Linked DNA regions of Pelodiscus sinensis. Each later gene encodes a partner of the first gene's protein in a complex. Links are inferred from orthologs where the notes say so. Each region holds a gene or a part of one and is shown on either strand. Other genes may lie near its edges.

Evidence for each region. The genes of interacting proteins can lie anywhere in the genome.
Region 2: ARVCF (region 1) and PA2G4 share a complex: the UniProt entries of both Homo sapiens proteins name them as parts of the ribonucleoprotein complex. The link is inferred for Pelodiscus sinensis from reciprocal best matches to the Homo sapiens genes ARVCF and PA2G4.

The regions. Positions count from the first base shown.
Region 1 is NC_134725.1:19,250,059-19,257,475, forward strand, and holds the start of ARVCF (splicing regulator ARVCF), read right to left. Parts: upstream 3,012-7,417; 5' UTR 2,931-3,011; exon of another isoform or gene 2,523-2,930; 5' UTR 2,358-2,522; intron 1,915-2,357; exon of another isoform or gene 1,865-1,914; intron 1-1,864. UniProt on the Homo sapiens protein: Contributes to the regulation of alternative splicing of pre-mRNAs.
Region 2 is NC_134729.1:4,165,074-4,172,797, reverse strand, and holds the start of PA2G4 (proliferation-associated protein 2G4), read left to right. Parts: upstream 1-4,706; 5' UTR 4,707-4,844; coding exon 4,845-4,932; intron 4,933-7,724. UniProt on the Homo sapiens protein: May play a role in a ERBB3-regulated signal transduction pathway. Seems be involved in growth regulation. Acts a corepressor of the androgen receptor (AR) and is regulated by the ERBB3 ligand neuregulin-1/heregulin (HRG).

The DNA of each region.
Region 1 (7,417 bases):
TAACAGTTCTGGCATGTTTTCTGATAGTATATAGCTTCAGATGCAAATTTAAATCTACCAGAAATGCAGAAATAGTGTTTATTGCATTACATAAAATATGACATAGATGCTTAAATCTATACAACGTAATATTTATGCACATGAACTTGTAGGTTAAAATGTCAGTCTTCATTATAGACTGTACAAAATATAAAGTACAACTAAAAGGAAGTATTCTACTCTCTCCCAATGCACTACTTACAAACTGTATATCCTGTAAATAACTGCATTTTGCTAATGTATTGGTTCTTCCAATAATAATTACTGAAATCAAATTCCACTGGAGGGATTTTGAAGGAACAGAGGAAAACAACAAGCAATGGGAAACAGTTTTTCATCAGTTATTTCTAAATAATATTAGGTAAAATCTATGGTTAAATCCACTGCTTTAAGTTATTTATGTTCAGAGAAACCATGTAATAATAATAGCAAATCAGCAAAGACAACTTTGCATGGATAACAACTAATGTCTAATAAAGCAAAGCCTAAGCATCATTAGACAAAACATGGGGACATAACTAACAGTCAAACTGTATTGTTCCTCTAAACCATGCCCACCAAACACATTCCTCTAGCCAGGCTGGGGGGAGAGGGAGGGGAGAACCCATTTGCCTAATGGGGCATATAATTTAAATATTTCAGACAACCATTTACAGAGATGTTGCTTAAAATAAATATAACAAACATCCATCTAAATATCTTGCATTACTGCGATCATAATATAGCTCACAAGTTGTTTTCTTGTATAAACTATGAATTATTATTAGTATTCCAATTCCTTCAGACAGCATGCATATGCAGTGCTAGTTTAATATAACAATCCTAATTTGTTCCAAAGCAGACTCAACATGAAACTGCATTTTTCCTTATTCTAGTTTCTTCTAACATTTTTAGGGACAGTACAATGTCAGGATCCATTCCTGACAATACAGAATTTCTGCAGTTTGTAAGGTACAGCTTTAAATCTAGAAGATGAGATAGGTACAGATTGCAGCATTGTAACCAGAGGAAGATACAATCAGCCACTGTCCATATTTTGCCACATTTAACCATAAAAATCCTCTCTAAGGAAAAATATTTATCCACCAATTCAAGGCTGTCACACAGTCAATGTTTAATAAGATTAATATAATTGGAATATGAAATTACAAGATTTGCAAAAAAAAATTGAACCTGCTAAGAACAAAAACTGGAGTTCACCAAAACTAGGCACAAGAGAGTACATTATAAAAACTGAAAAATATTTTAGACGAATCCATCTACTACTATATAGAAAGAGAGGGGCTCTGCCATTATATGCTTGATCTGAACATTTTAAAGAGTTGCTCAAGTTTTGGAAATATTAGTTTATAACCATGTAAAGTAATGCAGCAGAGAAAAATGCATACTAAAAGTACTTCCTTGGGATGATAAGATTGAAAGAGGATTTAATCTTTTTACAATTTAAACTACAAAGGTTAGTTCTGCGTGCTCTTTGCTACAAAGCAGGGGTCTCATCTCTATGCACGCCACAAATAACCTGAGCAACGACTTCCCTCCACAAGAACTGCCCATCGTTTTACAGAATTAACACACGCAGTGTTGGTTTATTTACGGTATGCATGTGTGTGTGGTGGCTATTTGTAATTTTAGCCATTAACGTAGGTCAGGTCCCCCACCACACATCACAGGACAAAAAAATACATATCACTTCAAGCCTCAACTGCAGCCTTAAGCAAACAAAGCTACTCTGCAACCGTGATGCAAAGTCATTCTAAATTCACTTAATCTCCAAGATCTGCTTTACAAAATAGTCCAGTCCCTTCTCCCCTAATGATCAGCTCACCATGTCGTCTTCTATATCTGTCCTCAGCTTATTTTCTTTGCCTCTTCTAGCTTCACGGGATCACCAGGAAGCGGTGTACCAAAAAACAAACAAACCCTCTTAAATAAAACACTCAGCAATTGATCGGCAGTAGAGCAATCAGACCTCTTCCTCTCTCCCTTTCCATTTTCCAGAAGCAAAAAACACCTCTAGATGCCCACTGCCTGCTACCCATTCATTCCCCGACCCCAGAAAAAACGGTGTAGGTGCATTCGATTCAGGTTGCATTTCTTTCCACCTCCCAACTCAAAAATTCCTCTCCAGAGATCACAATGAGTACGTCGGATACAGATTAAATTCCCTTCTTATCCTCCAAGGCAACATAGTAGATGCATCACACTCAGACTTAATCCACCCCCTTCCTTCTTCCCTCTTCATTTGCAAAGGGCATCTAAAACATCTTTATCCAAAGGGGAAGAATGGAAGGAGCCTTTAACTCTTGTTTTACATTTACCTTTTTTGTTGCTTTTCTTTTAAAAACACTTAGGATTCCTTCTTTTAAAAAAAACAAACTTGCTGCCGTGATCTTCCTATATGGTCGTCCACTCCCACATCCAGGGTCTGGCGCTCTTCATATCTCACAGAGAAACAACCTTGCTTAATAGTCCTCTTCAAAACTCTACCCCCATCCCAAAAAAAGAAACTAAGAAATAATGTCTCTTTAAAGAGGTTTTTGTACACTTCCCCTTAAGAATTACGTTTAAATAGTCACCTATAAAGTTTGAATAATGCTTAATTTCTCAACGCCCTTTCAAAAAGACTCTCTGTAAGATGTCCACCAGAGATTCAGTTGGTTTTGTAAGTTAACGTGTGCTGCAATGTATTCATCCCTCCAACTGTTTTATAGAGTGGGGGTGTTAATCCCTTCCCGTCAGTAAAATTAGGGAGGGGGCGGTAAAAATGCTGAGTGATGGAAATAGGAATTCAGGTTTCCCCTCCGTCCTCTAAGGACAGCATGGCTGGCTAGTGTGTCTGTGAGAGGGGCAGGAGGGGGAAGGGTGGAAAAGAGCTGAATTGTGCTCCAAACCTAAAAAACGGTCCTGCTGCTGCTGCTGCTCTGTGCCCCCTCGTTCGCAGCTGTCCGTCTGCAGTCAGCAAACAAAACGACGCACTTCTCACTGGCCATGATTTTTCCTATTGGGCATCTTTGTTTTATTAAACCCAGCAACGACCATCTCATTGGTGAAGTTCCTCAAGTCTGTCGGCTGGCTGACAGCGAAGTTTGGCATTGGACAGCATAAGTGTCCGTCAGAGTGGAATTAACCTCCCTTCTAGGAATGAAAAAAGTTCCCTAGTCCCATTCCGTTTGGGAATACATTATGATTGAATGCTTTTAATTTGTTTAATCGCTTGAAATACTATGATGATTAACAAAAAATCAAAACAAAACATATAATTAATAATCCTTCTGAAGCATCACAGATTTACACTTTGCACATTCTAAAACACATATAATAAACTGTGAAAGAAACAGGAAATCTGGATAGCAAGCACTTTTAGCCCAGAAGTCCAAACTGCAAAACAAATGGGAGCCTGCTCTTGCATTCAGATATCTCCAATCTGTACTGATTTCAGTGGAAGATTTGAGTACCAAGATACAGGATTAGTTGTGCAAGGCAAGTGGTTTTACATGGCACTGGTGGGCAGCTGGGGGTGCCGCTGCTGTCAGACTGGAGGGTCCCTGGCTTGTGCTTGGTCCCGCTGCAGGGAAGAGAAGAAAGGATGGGTCAGACAGGCAGGCCGGCCACTGTCCCCACACCTCATGCCCTCCACCCCTGAGCCCAGGTGATCCCACAGTTGTGTGGCTTGGGCCCACGCGGTTCACCCGCTTCCCCCCGTGTTGTATGTTTGCAAGGAGGACTGCCACTGGAGTAGGGTCCTCCTCCATATATTGTAACCACCGGTCTGTGTCCTGGCCCTGTGGAGGGCGGAAGGGCGCGTGTGTTGTGTTAACCTGTGGAACTCCCTGCCGGTGGAGACTGTGAAGCTTTGGGCTAATCACTGATGTTTGACAGGGAGTGAGATGCATCCCCACACAATGCCTGGGAGCACATCTGGCAGAGGTGGTCTGGACTCTCAGATCCCCATCGTGTGGGATATCTCCTGAACGGAACCAGAAGAGTGACTGGGGGGGGGATGTCCCATCCTTGCAGCAAAACTCAGGGTGGCCCTAAGGGTGGCCGAGCGCTTCCCCCCTTTCTCCCTCCCACTATCCCTCACACAACCCCCGTAGCCCAGGGACATGTGTGGCCACAGTGGGGATTTACCTTGGGGAGCCAGCCAAGGCACCGGGAGCAGGCGAGGGGCTCAGTGGGGGCCACAGTCACAGGGCTGTGATGCTGCGATTTACCCAAGAGCAGCTGGCTGTGCCTCACAGCCAGGCATGGGACAGTGTGCCGTTCTCCGTTCTGGACCCTTGCAGAGGTTCGGGCTCTGGGTTGAGTCCCTGGGGCCCTGGCCAGTTCCAGCTGGCATCCACCCTTCCCCCTGGTCCCGCTGAATGTGTGTGAGCAGCAGGGTCCCAGGCGTGTCCTGCAGCTGCCTGCCACGGTCACGTGCCGCTCCGTCACCAGGCTGCACGTGGTTGCACGTGCTGCTTGCTGCCTAATGCTACACAGCATGCAACTCAAGTGGCCTGAGTGACATGCTCTGCCCCTCCCTCCTCCAGACGCCTGGCTCCCCCCCCCCCCGCCCTCCGCCCTTGTGAGTGCGAACTGCAAAGACCCACCGGTGGATCCTTCCCCGGCCTCAGAGGAGCTGCTGGATGGGTCCTGCTGGGTGGCAACGCTGGTCTCCTCCCCCGAAGCGCTGCTTTCCTCTTCTTCCCCCGCCTCGGTGATTCGGATGACGGGGGGGCGCTGGCAGGTGTCCACCTGCACATGTGGGCCTTGCGGGGCTGGCTGGCCCAGTATGGAGTGCAGCCGGTCATAGTGGGAGCAGGTGTCTGGTCCTGCCCCCCTACCCTCGCTGGCCCACACGTACTCGAGCCGCAGCTCCTTGACCTTCGCCCAGACTTGGTCAATGTTCCGGGCAGGGTGTCCACGCTGGGCCAGCGCCTCGGCCATTCGGCCGAAGATATTGGCTTTGCGGCGCCAGGACCGGGTATTGTGGAGGCCCTCCTCCTCCTGCCAGAGGTCAAGGAGGGTCTCCAGCTCCCTGGGGGTCCAGGAGGGAGCCCGTCTTTTGTGGCCCCTGGGGGTCTCTTGCGCTGGGGGTGCAGGTGGCTCAGCACCCGGAGCTGCCATGGCTGGCTCAGATGGCTGCTGGGCAGGGCAGGGGCGCCGTGACAGACCTCAGGTCGCAGGTCTGAGGCACACTCCTGCCACGTGCGATCAGCAGCCTGCGTGTTCTTTTAAGAGCTCGGGTTACCAGGAAGACCGGGGCTCCTACGGGGTCTCCAGGTGTCCAAACCGCTTTTTTCCGTTTATTCTGCTTTTTCGGTAAAGCCTTAGCTAGCTGTCTACACTGGCCCTTTTGCACAACACTTTTTTGGAAAAAGGACTTTTGCCCAAACGGGAGCAGCAAAGCTTTTCCGGAAAAGCGGCTGATTTTGCACAGTAGATCATCATTGCTTTTGCGGAAAATCAAGCAGCCAGTGTAGACAGATGGCAAGTTTTTCCGGAAAAGTGGCTGATTTTCCAGAAAATCTTGCCAGTCTAGACACAGCCCATGAGTTTTGCCTTTTTCAATATGTGATCTCTGTGTGAAAGGCAGTACATATTAGTAAAAGCATTTTGTGGAATATCTTTCCCGAATCCAATAGGAATCTCTGTCAGTCAGAAATCAAAACCAGATCTCCTTATTCTCCCCAAGTGTTTCTATCCCAAGCTAATTTTTCAGAAGTGTTGAAACAGAGCTTTTTAATTTGCATTTGTTGGAAATTTGCATCCATATATGAAAGTACAAGAACATGTGCTTCTAAACACCTGGGCTACGTCTACACTGGCCCCTTTTCCGGAAGGGGCATGTAAATTTCACGAGTCGTCGTAGGGAAATCCGCGGGGGATTTAAATATCCCCAGCGGCATTTAAATAAAAATGTCCGCCGCTTTTTTCCGGCTTTTAAAAAAGCCGGAAAAGAGCATCTAGACTGGCCCCGATCCTCCGGAAAAAGCGCCCTTTTCCGGAGGCTCTTATTCCTACTTTGAAGTAGGAATAAGAGCCTCCGGAAAAGGGCGCTTTTTCCGGAGGATCGGGGCCAGTCTAGACGCTCTTTTCCGGCTTTTCTAAACGCCGGAAAAAAGCGGCGGACATTTTTATTTAAATGCCGCTGGGGATATTTAAATCCCCCGCAGATTTCCCTACTACGATAGCTGAAATTAACATGCCCCTTCCGGAAAAGGGGCCAGTGTAGACGTAGCCCTGGAATATACCTACACTTCAAAATTTATAGCTTCAAAATAAGTTAGTCCTATCTCTTCAAATTTATCCCTTAGACCTAGAATTTCAAACTGACATGATTTTTTATGCTTTCAGATTTTGGGTGCCCGAACTGACACCCCTTCTAAATTGGACGCTTTTTCCTCCTGTCAAATTGGACAGTCCAAAATGGAGGTACCCCAAATCACTAATCAGCTCTGAAAATCTCAGACTTATTGATAAAACCTCAGTGAGAGACAACAGTGTAATTATAACTTTACCGATGGATAAAATTTGTAATAAATAATGGACCTCATTCTGTGAAAGACATCTGCGTAGAATAGTGATAGAAATGTGATAGAAATCTGCATAGAGTTTCCCTTAGCTTCATTAGGACTGATGTTTCAAATGCTTGTAGGATCTAGCTAACCAAACCATTAATATCAAGTGACTTACTCAGCAGAAGCCTCATAAACGGACACTTCTCTAAATCACAGTTGTGCAATACATTTCCCCTCAGATTCATGATTCTATAACATTCCCTGTGGACATAATTTTTCATATAGCTAGTTACTGTAAAATTATGAAAATGTACGGTATTCTTTTAGCTCTTTTAATTTAATGCATCATCTGGAAATATGCAGGACCACCCAGTACTACCATATGATCATTCATTTCTCTAAAAACAATAAGGAAGTGCTCCACAGACTACTAGTAGCCTATGGACTCTTGCTGCAACATCTCTAGTAGGGATGTAAAAATTTTAAAAAAATTACCATATAACTGTTTGAAATTAAATTGGTTACATGGTTAAATGTTCTGTGGGCTGCAAGTGCTGCAGGTTCCTGGTGACTGCCAGCCCTACAGGCTCCCAGCAGCTACTGGACCTGCAGGCTGCTGGCACTGCTGGACCTGTGAGCTGCTGGCACCACTGGACCCACAAGATTGGCTGCTGGAACCAAGGCCTCCCAGTGCATGCCAGCCCTGTAAGTTCCCAGTGTCCACTGGCCCCACGACTTCCCAGCAGCTGCCAGACCCACAGGCTGCCAGCAGTGGCTGTGAGTTTAACCAGTAAGGTTAACCAATAAGCTAATTCTTACTAGTTAATCGCAGGTAGGCTTGCAAACCTAGTGAGGAGGGCTTTAAACTAGGTTCG
Region 2 (7,724 bases), on another chromosome or scaffold:
TGGTCTGGGGTTTAGTGGATCAAGCACTTCTCCTGGAGCCAGAACTCCTGGGTTTTCAGTCACGGACTCATTGCTCTGGGCCTCAGTTTCCCCCTGTGGGCCATGCAGAGGCTGGGAGTCAGTCCTAGAACGATGGAGGCAGCCCGTACCCATGAGCGGCTCCCATGCCTGCCCCCACGGCCTTGTAGCTCTCCACACACACACCAGCCCCAGCCAGGGGTTTCTCATGGCTGCTGCCCCTCTCTTGGTGCCGCTGAGCTTGGAGGCCGCGGCAGGTCAGAAGGTGTTGGCGCATCAGGTTCTGTGCAAGTTTCACCAGATTTCCACTGGTGTAAGAAGCCAGTGGACTGGAATTTGATCTTGCATCCTCCTGAGTCACACTGGATTCACACCAGTGTAAACAGGGTGGCCAGAGCCTCCCCTCCTCTCATGCCCCAGCACCTGAGCCTGATGAGAGCTGTGGGGTGCTAGTTGCCAACGGGGCACAGGGAGAACACCCCTAGCCTGCGGTGAAGAACTGAAGTTGATATTTTTGCACTGAACCTCGTGGTGTGTTTCACGTCACGTGCAACGCTGGAACAAGGGGGCCTGGTTCACGGGCTGTGTTCCTGCCCTGGGCTCCAGCAGGCTGGCCACGCTCACTGGGCAGCGGGTTTGGCTCATGCACTGGGAGGACTTTCCTCTGACAAAGGCTTTCTGCGCTAGACACAGGGGCCGGCGCTCTCTGTCGGGTGGTTGTGTCCAGTTTCTGTCCTGGTCTGGGTGTGCCCAAGGGCTCTGAATTGTTTCTCTCCTCTGCAGGAAGTAGAGTATGTGTCTCCTGCCCTCAGAGCAAGGCTCTGAATTATTTCCACATGAAGCCATGGATGGCAGTGAACTTTACCTAAGCTTGGACCTCCTTGGATAAAGTGGTGGAAGTCGATGAAAGAAAAGATCAAGGAGGGATAGGATAGAGGTCTATACAATCATGACTGGTGTGGAAAAAGTGAATGAGGAAAAATTATTTACTTATTCCCACAACATAAGAACTAGGAGTCACCAAATGAAATTAATAGACAGCAGGTTTAAAACAAACAACAGGAAGTTTTTCTTCACTCAGCGAACAGTCAACCTGTGGAACTCCTTGCCAGAGGATGTTGTGAAGACTAGGACTTTAACAGGGTTCAAAAAAGAGCTAGATAGATTCATGGATGTTAGGCCCATCATTGGCTATTAGCCAGGATGGGTAGGAATGGTGTCCCTAGCCTCTGTTTGTCTGGAAATGGATGGCAAAAGAGAGATCATGTGAGGATCACCTGTTGTGTTCCCTCCCTCTGGGGCATCTGATATTGGCCACTGGCAGCAGACCAGATACTGGGCTAGATGGACCTTTGGTCTGACCTAGTATGGCTGTTCTTATGTTCTTAATCTTTGGGAGGGGAGCATTACCTATGAGTTAGAGCGGAGCTCACAAGAGTCAGGATTCCTGGTTCTGCTCCTAGCGCCAGAAAAAAGGGGGCATCTAGCCATTAGACCAGGCTGTCGCCCTCTGCTCTGAGTTGTGCAAATGGGCAGGTGCATTTCCTCACTGCTTCCACCCTGGCTCAGCCACACGATGGGCGGGAGGAATGGGTGATATTAGCAATGTCTGACTAAGGCGGAGACCTGCAAGGACCTGCAGAAGGGAGTGTGGAGTAGGTTTTCCCGGGCTCCACCCTGGCACATCCCTTCCCTGCTGCAGCCGGAGGAGCTAACCCATTGTCCTGAGAGATCGGGGCGCAGCATGGCCGCTTCGGGGGCATCCAGTGAGCCCATCTCCCCTCTGCTAGAGCCGTGGGGAAGCACAGTCTCCTGATCTCCCCTTACAAGCAGGGGGCGAAGTGCGTGAGTCTCAGTCCTAATCCACAACCCTGCAGGTCTGGGCTAAGGAAGCGGTGCTGGCCGGGGCCAAGCCCAGGACCAAACACGTGCTCTAAAAGCTGCCACTTCTGCCCTCTGCTGGCAAGTGACACTAACGCTGCAGAAAAACCTATTCACTCCGGCCATGGGGTAGAGTGCAGGGCTGGGAAGGGAGGACTGAAAAGTAGAAGCAAGCCCAAGCCGGAGGCTTCCCCACCTGTTCTGTGCTTGTTTGTTTCAAAGGCAGGAGCCCCGACCTCTGGGTTCTAAAATGGGAACAGTCAATAGCGTGACAGGGTGAGAGGTTTGCTGTGTTTTCTTCCCAGCTTCTCCAAAGGAGAAAGAACTAAAGAACAAACCAAAAGCCACCCAGCAGACCGGAGCATGGGGCAGTAGCTCCAGGCCTGCATCTTCCTACTAAATTCAAAGGGGCAGATGCTGGTTTTGCTTCCAGACAGACTCATTCTAGTGAAGTCACTGGGTCCAATTTCTCTTCGAGGTGTTTACACCTGTGCAAAGGGCATGCAAACTTGGCAGCTTGAAATGGGTGCAAGGGAAAATCAGGTTCAAAATGAGCCAATCCAATATGCTATTTAGTCCTTTTAAAGACACGTGCAATGCCTCCAGTAGACTTGTCTGGACTGTCCAGAAAAGCCCCCTCCTTGTATGTTTTCAAAGTGTAAAGGTTAATGTTGTTGGAAAGCAGGGAGTATTTATTTTTGTATTCCTGTCCTTGTTTGCTGTGTGTCAGAACTGGTGAAATGAAGGTGAAAAGAAATCTCTGAGCTTTACACTTTTACCTGTGGGACTCTCCGTTGCAGGATGAAATAGCTTTAGTGTTTCAGTTTTAAAGAGAATCAGACACTCACAGGAATAACAGCCTGCGAAGTGACTCAAATTGAGACAAAGTCCCAAGGTTTGCAGGGAATATGCCGATCAGAAGGAAATATACCTCTATTGCATATTTAAGCTCTGGTCTTGGAAGGAGACGCATATAGTTTGATTCATTTGTAGCAACTGGGGCTGCATTTATTAACAAAGAGGGCCGTGCCAACAAACTTGCTCTGATATGAGCAAGGGATACCAAATACAGACAAACCTCCAGGTAACTATCTACCACGACCCTAGTGAATACAGCATTGGTGAAATAAAGAATCTGTAAGTTGTGTGCTATCTTCTGCAATGATGCAAACAAATGTTCTAAGGTCAAGAAGGGCTCTGTAGGCAGCAGTACTGATCTCAAGGGCTCAAAAATCATTATTCAGCTGTCAAATTCTGTTGTGTTTTTTTAAAATGAGTTTGGTTGTGGTATTTTTTTATTTGCTTTCTGGTTTCTGAGCCTTTAGGTCACACACGAGCTCATACTCTGAAGCTTTTCTGTGCAGCCACAAAGACTAGAACCATACTTTACTGAAAACACAAAAAACTCACACTGAAATTGTGAGTGTCGGCAGAAGAAGGGCTTCTCCAAGTGCATCTCACAGCCAGATTGGTGCCACAGGTGGGTGGGAATTGGTGCTTTCCTCTCACATGTTGGATTCTCAGGCCTGGGACACTGGGTTTGGCTGGGCCCATAATAAACCTCTGTGTGGAAAGCCCTTGTTCATGCCATCTTTCAGTTGTCTATGCTTCCCGTTATTGGAGTTTTAATTTTTTTAAAAAAACAAAATAAAAATGAAGCTGATGAACACGTGCCTGGATACATCTGTGCTGGCCTGGCTCTGGGAGGGGAGATGGGCTGGCATGAGGGATGGGTGGGGCCAGGATGGGTAGCTTGGGAGAGATAGCTCCAGGACTAAGTTTCCCCACTAAGCTGAGCAACTTGCCATTAAGTGGGACAGGAACCAAGGACTGCAGTGGGAAGCAATACTTCTCACCAAGCCTCGAAACTGCCATGACCAGTAGAGGGGAGCCCCTCCTCACCGGCCCCAGCATGGAGCTGCTATGGCCAAGGGAAAGGGGCCTATCCTTGCTGCCCTGGTAAGCTCCAGCCCCAACTCCCTACCCCACTTTGAGCCCCTCGCTCTGAGCATCCTACTGCACACCAAGGACTTCATCCCTGGCCTCACCCCCAAAGCTCACATCCCCGGCCCTGAGCCTGTACCCCCTCCTACAGCCCAACCCTGCCCCTGAGCCCCTCCCCAAACCTGGTGCCTCCATTATTCCCCAGAGCCCTCACACTCTGCACCCCAGCCCTCTGCCTCAGCTCTGAGCCCCACACCCGGCTACGTGAATTTAGTGATGTGCACCAGGATGACAGTGATATGTCGCACGCCACTGCCACACCTGTGCACATCACAAAATTCATTCCGCCTTGGGGTGGGAACACTTATGCCAAGGGGCACTCGGAGGAGGGAGTTTCTTTCCCCTTCCTTGCCTGCCTTTGCTGCAGCTCCAGACCTTAGTTGGGGGTAACCTGGGTGAGACCCCTCCCCATAGCAAGCACCCTGGGTTCCCCCAGCTCCTTAGGGGGTGCCCCCAGGGTACTCCCCTCCCACGTGGGTACCCCCCACTATAGTCCTCTCCCCCTTGGGGGGGTGTCCCTTGTATCCCTCCCCACCGAGCCCCCCCCACTGCCTAGGGCTCCTCAGCTCCCTGCGACTTGTAGTTCAAACCCCCTTGGAAGTTGAGTAAGTCCACCCCCCCAGCCTACAATTCCCAGTGTGCACTGCGCCCCGCCCCTCCCGCCCGCCATCGCGGGAAGCGCCCCTCGGCCCCAGCTCTCGCGAGAGCTCCCGGGCGCGCCGTATGCCGGGAGCTGTGGTCCTCCATGCGGCGGGGCGGCCTCCGCGCGGCGCCTGCCGGGAGTCGTAGTCCGGCGGCGGAGCGGGGCGGGGACTCGCCTGCCCAGCGTGCCCCGCGCGGAGCCCGCGCTCTCTGCGGCTCGCTCGCTCCGGCCGGGTCTCTCCTCACTCGGCGGCGGTTCCAGCGCGGGGCGAGGCCAGGCCGGGCCGGGCGGCGCCACCATGTCGGGCGAGGAGGAGGCGGCCGAGCTGACCATCGCCGAGGACCTGGTGGTGACCAAGTACAAGATGGGGGGCGACATCGCCAACCGTGAGTGCGGGGGGGGGCCTGAGGGGGGGGCCGAGGCGGGGCCTGAGGGGGGGCCGAGGCGGGGCCTGGGGGGGGGGGGCTGGCTCGGGCCTGGGGGTCTAGGGCGGGATCTGGGCAGCGCTGGTCCCCTCGGGTAGGGGGCGTGGAGGGGGGGGCACCCCTCTGGGGGTGGCCTGAGCTTCTCTCCCGTCCCCTCCCCCCTCCCCCACGGTGCCCGGGGGGGTCCCCACTGGCAAAGCCCCCCCCCCCCCCCCAGCAGGACCGAGACCTTCTCCAGCGCCTGGGCACCCCGGGCACATCCCCCCCCCAGCAGAGCGGGGTGCCCAGGGGGATCTACTCCCCCCCCAGGCCCGTGTGGGTGCGTGGGGGGGTGTAGCCCCCCCCCCGGAGCCGCCAGGCGCCGTGCCCCGGCCCGGCGGTGCAGCCACATGGCCCGGCGGCGCCTTTGCCATGTGCGGCTCCCGCACGCCGCCAGCTTCCTCCCACATGGGCTTTACCTTTTGTTCGCTGCTCTCGCTCCTGCCCCCTCGGCCGGGGCGGGCTGGGAGGCAGCGGGGGCCCTGGGGGGGGGGGCCCTGCCTGTGGCCCCGCAGTCAGCGGAGCCTGTCTGGGGAGAGTCGGCCCGAGCCGGGGCCCCCAAGGCGCAGCGAAATCAGTTTGTGTTTTTAAATCCGCTTCTGCCTCTTCCTTCTGATATTTTTGCTTTATCATTAATGGTGGCAACTAGTAACTCCAGGAAAGTGACAGCTGGTTAAAAATCGCCCTGGACTTCTCTTGGGGTGCCACTGGCATTTCATGGAGGCCAGGAGTAATGAGTGTATTTAATAACCCTTCTGAAAACAGGGTCAACCTGAAGCTCTCATGGCATGGGGAGAGGGCTCATTTTTAGTAGATTGGGCAAGGGGGCCTGCAAACAGGGTTCTCACCAGTCAGGTGTAAACTCTGTCCTGTTGGGATGCTTACAAGCACTGAGATACAGACTAAGAGTCCTGCAGTTTTAATGGTGTGTAGGGGATATGCCTCATGGGAAAGTAAAAAATGATCAGAGTATTTTTCTGTAAAATCAGTGAGGGGTCCTGTGACACCTAAAGACGAACACATTTATTTGGGGTTAAGCTTTCATGGGCTGGAGCCCACTTCGTCAGATGCATCAGTATTTTTCTGTATGTCATAGGTGTAAAATATTCTAAATCCAAAAGAGTGGCAAGGTTTTAAATTTTCCTGGGGGTGCTAAAAATCTCTTGATTTCTTGACAGTGTAGTACATGTATTTAATGATGTAAAGTGCTTTTAATTCATGGAATGAGGGACTGTGTAAGTACAAAGTACAGTTAATAGATATTCTTTGCCCAGTGCTATTAAACTGGTTTGTAACTTTCCCATTCCCTAATGGATATTGATTGCTGCTTGTTTTACTCCTGTGTGAATTTTAACACTTCACATTTTCAAGCTGCCCATTCGCATGATGGCATATGCAAACTCTGGGTTTGTGATGGTTTGTAGATAACTTTAAAAACCCACTTCTAAATTCACAGTTTATGTAGTGCATGGAAAGGTGATTGTATGGGGAAATAGGGTGATTTTTTTAACTTAATTCATTAGGTAGGCTCTTTAGCCCAATTTCTCCTACATGGGGGAGAGATTTTTTGAGCAAATGCCTTTTATCTAGGGATCTAAACACACTTTACAAAATTGTAAGCTTCACAATTCCTGTATGAAATAGATAAGAATTATCCCCCTTTGTTAGAAGAGGGGGAAATAAAGCCCAGAGGTTAAGTGATGCTACAGGACCATTGTTGTTTTTAAGTCTTTTTTTAATTACAGGCTAACACGCCCCTCTTGAGACTTTTTGTAGATCTGGAAAGCTGTGCCTCCCAGTGCCTGTACCTGCTGACTGTTGACTAAAGTGCAAACCTGCGCTTGTTCTCCCTCAAATAATCCTGGGAACTTCCCTGGCGCTTTTGTGAGGCAGTCAAGTTTTGTGCACAGATGTGATGCTGGAATACTTCAACAACAGCCCCATGCATCAAATATTTTCTAACTATTTATAAAATAGAAACGTACCTTGTATTCTGCAATGGAATCTCAACATCCTGACACAGCCCTTTAAAGCTCTCTAAAAGCAACAAAACTTTAATACCTCCAAACCAGATCCGTGCATCATATTGTGACTAGAGAATAGAATGTTCTGTAATGCCTGATGCGGCACAAGGTGTAGATGTGTAAGGAAGAATGAAGGGAAGCCAAACATTAGTTCTGAAATGCTTTTATGTGCAACTGCAAGCGAAAAGTGGCTGCAAAGTGTAAGACTCGCATAGGTAGGTAGCTTAGCTGTACTGTTGCCAGCTCTGATGCCAAGTGACCTGTCTCAATGAGAAATTATATTTAATAGTCCTTGAAACCCACAATAGCAGCCCTTGTTCCTCTGATATATGACACACAGAGTCTCCTGGATCAATTTTGAACCTCTTTCTGTAGCCCTGGCTTCTGAAGGGAAGGAATGTGGGAGAACAGTGCTGCTTCCACTTGACTCTCTAGTAAACAGACCCTGCTGTCTGTGTAGGTGGAAGTGGACAGGTGTTTGAGATTTCAAGGACACCTACAGTTCAACACTTCATGGGCCTAGTCGGTGTGCTTGTTCCCAGGTGCTTGCAATCACAGGAAGGTAGTGCTTGCTGGATTTCTTGAGTCAGGACAGCCAATGGATGCCAGTTTTATTTTAAAAAAGTCTGATGTGTGCACATTTGATGTACTTGCTTGGTGGTTCAACTTTTCACCCTAATTTAATTAAAA